Linked DNA regions of Callithrix jacchus. The protein of the gene in region 1 purifies or fractionates together with the protein of each later gene. This does not show direct contact. Links are inferred from orthologs where the notes say so. Each region holds a gene or a part of one and is shown on either strand. Other genes may lie near its edges.

The links. The genes of interacting proteins can lie anywhere in the genome.
Region 2: the proteins of MAPK7 (region 1) and PFDN6 purify together in Homo sapiens (affinity purification with mass spectrometry; 3 studies listed by BioGRID and IntAct, with this or other methods). This does not show direct contact. The link is inferred for Callithrix jacchus from reciprocal best matches to the Homo sapiens genes MAPK7 and PFDN6.

What each region holds. Positions count from the first base shown.
Region 1 is NC_133506.1:83,281,097-83,283,900, reverse strand, and holds the end of MAPK7 (mitogen-activated protein kinase 7), read right to left. Parts: coding exon 2,343-2,804; intron 2,248-2,342; coding exon 1,568-2,247; intron 1,248-1,567; coding exon 1,114-1,247; intron 983-1,113; coding exon 829-982; 3' UTR 523-828; downstream 1-522. UniProt on the Homo sapiens protein: Plays a role in various cellular processes such as proliferation, differentiation and cell survival. The upstream activator of MAPK7 is the MAPK kinase MAP2K5.
Region 2 is NC_133505.1:41,531,064-41,534,361, reverse strand, and holds PFDN6 (prefoldin subunit 6), read right to left. Parts: upstream 1,812-3,298; 5' UTR 1,776-1,811; exon of another isoform or gene 1,768-1,775; intron 1,628-1,767; 5' UTR 1,541-1,627; coding exon 1,477-1,540; intron 1,230-1,476; coding exon 1,159-1,229; intron 1,078-1,158; coding exon 953-1,077; intron 741-952; coding exon 611-740; 3' UTR 528-610; downstream 1-527. Other genes in the region: WDR46 (WD repeat-containing protein 46), read left to right, coding at 2,229-2,297, 2,395-2,604, 2,702-2,782, 2,926-3,038, 3,158-3,245. UniProt on the Homo sapiens protein: Binds specifically to cytosolic chaperonin (c-CPN) and transfers target proteins to it. Binds to nascent polypeptide chain and promotes folding in an environment in which there are many competing pathways for nonnative proteins.

The sequences.
Region 1 (2,804 bases):
CACCACAGTGTGCTAGGTGAGTGGTGCAGAGTAAACAGAGTGAACAGTGCATTCCAGGCCACAGCCCAGCAGTCCTCTGGCTGCTCTTAAACCATGTCCCATCTTTAGCCTCCCTACCACCAACTTACTCCCTTGTGGTGAGCACCGTGGACCCCCAGCCCACAGCACTATCATACTCAGCTTCCCCTGATGGCCCATCCCAGCCCCTGAAACTCTATGCCAAGGCCACAGCTACTGCATACCACCCTGAAACAGTCACAGCCAAGGTAGGCATGCATATGAGGCCTTCCCCACACCCTCTGGGGGTTGAGGTTTAGCAACATGAGTAGGCAGAGGACAAACTGCAGGGTTGGGAGTCGGTAGGGACTGAAGGGCTCAATAAACCTTCAGAACCTGAATTAACTGGCTTCGTGCACACAAACATATTTGCTTAGCCCCGAAATGTAGGCACCTGGCTCCTCCTTGCTCCCCTACTGATGGTGTCTTACCCCAAACCCCAAAAATTACACCTGGAGTCAGACGCAGAAGGGAACCTTGTATTTCACAGGCCTCATTTTGATGGCAAAAAGACAGTGTAATAATAACATAATAATAATAAAAATATAATACTGAAAAGGATTGTTCAGGGGGAGTCGGGATCTCCCGATCCTGTCATGGCTCGGTGGTGGCTCAGGTGGCTGCTTAAGGCTGAAAGGTGGGTCTGAGAAGAACCTGCAGAATAATCCAAGCTGAGCTTCACCTGCTGGGTCCAGAGCTAAAGCCTCTGAGAATGCTCCCATGGATCCTGGAACTAGGTCCACTATAGCAGCAAGGCACAGGCTGTGGGCCTCAGGGGTCCTGGAGGTCAGGCAGGTCAGCCAGTAGCATTGGGGAGTCCATCTGGATCTCACGCTGCAGGGACTCAATATCGGCAGGGTTCATACCATGGCCTTCGAGCCAGTCAGCAAGCAGGGAGGCTGAGAGTGAGGCTGAATCTGCCTGGCTGCAGGGGAAGGGATGGGAGTGGTGCTATTAGCCTAGGCTGGAGCCTCACCCATCCCACAGGTGCAGGCCTCCTGCACCAGGAACCTCTCCCCACAGCCCCATTCTAGGAGCTCAGTCCAGCCACCTTACCCATCCTGTGGCCCATCAGCCAAGCCCATGTCGAAAGACTGGTTTAAAAATTCCTCCAGGTCAAAACCAACACCGTAGCCAGCCCCACTGCCCTTTGGTGTGCCTGAGAACACAGGGGGCAGGGGGTCCTCCACCTGCAAGGAATGATAGGTTACAATGCAGGCAGACTGAGTCTGCAGGGCACCCCATCCCAGTGCTGCTGACTACTCCACCTGGATACCTAGGAGTGCTAACACCAGTCTCAGCAGTCAGTGCCAGGCACTTTCCAGGCCATATCTAACTTGTCTCCTAACAACATTTTCATTGGCATTATGCTCCTTCTGTGAGCCAGAAGGCATATTCAGGGATAAAGCGCCATGTGCTGCTCAGTTTTTGTGGAATAAGGACCACTTCCTGAACCCATTTTCCTTTGGCCCAGATCCAGGTGTCTCCATGGCCTGGGCCTCCCTCTCACCTGTGACTTAGATAGCTGCTGGGTCACCAGGTTGACATCAGGTGACTCTGACATGGAAGACTGAGGGGCTCCCCCTCCATCTGGAGGTGGCAGGCCAGATGGGAAGTAAGGCAAAACTCCTGGGGTGCTGGAGCCAGGCAACCCAGGGGGCGGCACAAGTGACTGGGGAGCCAGGAGGCTGGTAGAAGTGGCAACCTGGAGTGATGCAGGGACAGAGATAGGTCTAGGAAGGCCAGTGGGGTGGGGTGCAGGGCCAGGGGGTGGGCAGGCAGGCTGGGGTACAGGGCCAGAGGTGGAACCTGCAGGCTGTGATTGGGGGCCAGCGGGTAGGGCTATAGGGCCAGGGGGAGGGCTGGTAGGCTGGGCTGGGGTTGGCGTTGGTGCTGGGGCAGGGGTTAGCACAGAGGTGGGGGCTGGGGCTGGGGGCCGGGCCATTCGAGTCCAGCGTTCCAACAAGCTTCGGTCATTGTCACTGAGTACTAGTCCAGCCAGGGGGTCAGTGGAGGGGCCCCCAGAGGCTCCAGCCCCCCGTTCCTTTCGCTCTCGCTCCTGCCGCCGTTTCTCCCGCTCCTTGGCTCGCTCTTGCCGCCGCCGCCGCTTCTCCTCCCGCTCCCGCTGGCGCTCCTGGGCTGTCACTGGCTTCCGAGGCTCAGGAGCCTCCAGGGGTGCGCTGGGGCCATCTGCGGGGAAGTTGGGCAAGGAAGAAAGTAAAAGCCTGAAGCCTTGTCCATGTCCCAAGTTTCCCCTCTACCCACCCGACCTACCCACAAGGCACCTCTGAGCCGGCTCTGCAAGGACTTGAGCAGCGCAGCTTTGAGAGCAGCCTTAGTGTTGTCTGAGATGGCACCCTCTTTCTTCGGTGGGGCAGGCTCACTGGCTGCTGCGGGTGGCTGCAGGGTCAGATCAATGGTGTCAGGTGCAGGGCCGGGGCACGCTGGCAGGGCTGGTGGGGGAGACTCCATGACACAGTCCCCACTGGGAGCCCAGGGGCTAGGCATCTCAACATCTGGACAGCCAGGCTCACTAGCCACAGGCTGCAGAGAAGGCTGGAAGCGAATCTGTTGGCGGATGCCCTCGCGCCTTGCATGGAAGTCCTCAATCTCAGCCACAATGGCCTCTTTAATGCGCTCCCGAGTGAGGGCTTCTCGGTCAAAGGCAAAGTCAAAGGGCGGGGCACAATCAGGCTCATCATCAGGGTCATGGTACTTGGCTAGGAAGGGGTGGCGAAGGGCAGCAG
Region 2 (3,298 bases), on another chromosome or scaffold:
AAAAAGTGAGTTACTTGGTGAACAGTTTCCTCAAACAATGCTGCAAATGTGTATAAAACAATTTTTGGACAAAGAAATGGCTGAACAACCTTATGGACAACATATAAACTTAGGAGGACTTATAACACCATAAAGCATTACATGCTAGGCTTTTAAGTCAGTTTAAGCTATATTCAAGCAAATTCTAGGAAGACAGGCTGAAAAGTACTAATAGAGATGTCAGGACTGCTGGCAAGGAGGGTAATCACATTTCACCTTGGGGCCTCATGTTAGAGAACTGTATTCTTCAATTAAACTGACATTCCTCACATTCACAAATGTAAATGCCCTTCTAAAAGAATCATGCCAACCAAGATGAGGGAGAGTTAAAAGAAGGTTTGAGGACATTTGGGATTTCACTTTCAAGAAAGAAAACACTGTGCCACAGAGAGATTTCAAGTGCAAGAGTTTGGACCTGAGGGAGTAATATAGGTGGTGTGTGTTAAGGTGGAAGGGGCTGTGGAGATATGCCTGATCAGGAAACAGAGGCAGGTGTTTTTGCATTTTATTAGCTACAGTATAGATCCCAGAGCTGCCTCATTCCCGCCCCTCCCCTTCCCCCACCATGGGGTCAGGCCTTGCCAGGAGCCCCTGCCTTTGCTGCCTGGGCCCGCTGGAACTCCTGCTGCAGCTGAGCAAGGGTCTCTCTCTGTTGCTCTGACTGCCGCTCAAGATCCCGGAGCTGGGATTCGTATCGCTTACTGAGGAAAGACAAGCAGAAAAGGAGAAATTAGTGGGACTTACTATGGAGGGTGCTAAACTCAAGAAAGAGACTTCTCTTTCTTGAGATCTAGGGAAGGGTGCAGAAGGGGTGTTGGAAGGGGTCTGGAGGAACTGGACTAGGGGCGACTATGGAGAGCTGTTCTGCAATGGTTCCTCAACTCCTCTACTCCAATGGTTCAGTTAGACTCACATTTCAGCTGTGATATAGTCCAGCCTCTTCCCCACTGTGGCCCGAGCCTCTCCCAGCTCCTGTTTGACCAGCACCGGACCCAGAAGTTTAAAGACCACGTTGGACCCATCCAACAGGGCCAGTTCCTGATGGAGGGATGGGACATATGTAATCAGAACCATGGCCAGTACAGGCCCCTCCTCGCCGCACAAATCCCAGTCCCTCACCTCTTTCACGATGTTATTTTCTGTTAGTTGTGCTTCAAGTTTCTGCCTCCCCGACATGGATTTACTCAAGTCTGGGGATGAGAGGAAAGGCAAGATTAGAAACATCAAATGTGCCACCAATCCCCACAATCCTAGTCAGGAGGAAATGGATCTGAGGAAGTAAACAAGGATGGGGGCAGCGGGTCAGTGAATAGGGACGAGTACTGACGCGGGAAAGTCTCCGCACGCGACGGCCCAGATGGGGCAACAGACCTTATCCTAGTATGGTTTTGGGTTGTGAGTGCATCGGGCGAGGCCACACTGACCCTGCTCCCTTACCCTTCTGTAGCTGTTGATATTTCTCCACTTCTCCTTGCAGCTTCTTTTGAATCAGCTCCGCCATGGCGGGGATGAAAGCTTAAGGGGAGCGAGAGAAGGGCGCTGGATCTTACTCTCTGGAAGGTACCTGAGTTCCCCTTTCTGATCTGGCCTGCGGAAATGATGGCACTCTTAAGAGGCAGCCCTGAGGGGGACCGCAAACTCCCCACGTCCCGGATATCGACTCCACCCTGTTCCCAGGAGATGATGGGCGAAACGCGAAACCCCGAACCCCTCAACCGAAATCCTAACCTACTCACGTTCTCCCTTTAGTAGTAATAAACCCGGAAGTAAACAAAGAATGCTGGGAAAAGACTGTGTCGGGAAGTTTCTTTCTGATCCTTGATGGGAAGTGTAGTTCTGACATGTTTAGTGAGTGGCGTTCTGCTAAAAAGACTAGACTCGGACATTTTTAGGCAAGACGGGGAAACTAATCCAGAAAAAGAAATCGCACCGCTACTTAGTCCCTGGTCCTGGACCTGCCCTTTTTTTTTTAAAGTCTCTCTTGTATAAGCTGTCGCTCGCGATAAGGTGCCAAGAGCTGTTCCGCCTCTCTAAAGAGAGCGTGCCCTCACTCAAGATGGCGTTAAGAGAGCTTCAGATTTGGTACGCTGCTGATTGGATGACGGACAGAGGGCTTCCGGAAGTTTTCAAGGCGACTGTAGGGCAGCTGAGAGGAGTTTTGCACGTGGATCGCCGTACGGGTGGGCGAGATGGAGACGGCCCCCAAGCCGGGCAGGGATGTCCCGCCCAAGAAGGACAAACTGCAGACCAAGAAAAAGGTAGAGGCCTCTCTGGGTGGGAAAATAAGTTTTTAGTTGCGGAGTCGGGGGGCGTGGCGTAGGTGCGGAGTTATTAGGGCTACTGATCTGCCCGTAGAAACCTCGGCGATACTGGGAGGAAGAGACTGTTCCGACCGCAGCCGGAGCCTCTCCAGGGCCTCCTCCTAACAAGAAGAATCGGGAGCTCCGTCCCCAGGGAGCAAAAAGTACTCACATCTTAAAGAAGTCTCGGATCTCTAAGAAGCCTCAGGTCCAGAAGAAACCCCGAGAATGGAAGAATTCGGAGTCCCAGCGGAGCTTGTCCGGGGTGAGCGTGGGACCTAATGGGTGGCGAGGCAGGTCGAGAGTGAAGGGGTTGGGGTCAATTTAAGGCTGCCTGCTAATTGCGTCCTTCCTTCCCCTAGGCCCAGGACCCATTCCCAGGCCCCGCCCCCGTCCCTGTGGAGGTGGTCCAGAAGTTCTGTCGCATTGACAAATCCCGAAAGGTGAGGTCCAGCTGGAGAGTTGGGAAGTGTTGGAGGCCGGGAGTGTCTGAGTGAGTTGGATGGAGGCTGAGCCAGGTAGCCCTCCTGTGACCCCACTTACTCTGTGGTTCTTCTACCACTCCTGTCTACCAACAATGTTAAAGCTACCACAGTCTAAAGCCAAAGCTCGAAGCCGACTTGAGGTGGCGGAAGCTGAGGAAGAGGAAACAAGTATCAAAGCTGCTCGTTCTGAGCTGCTGCTTGCTGAGGAACCTGGGTGAGTGGGCCCTAATCTGGGCCACCCCATTCCCTGCTTTATAGGACTCTCTCGTTTTTATGTTGGTACACTTGTTTCATATTGGGAAACTTTACTGCCATCCTAACCCTTGCTTTCAGGTTTCTGGAAGGGGAGGATGGGGAAGACACAGCAAAAATATGCCAGGCTGACATTGTGGAGGCTGTGGACATTGCAAGTGCAGCCAAGGTGAGCGAGGAGTTAAAGGAGCCAAAGGGTTGATGGGTGGTGCAGGACAAGAG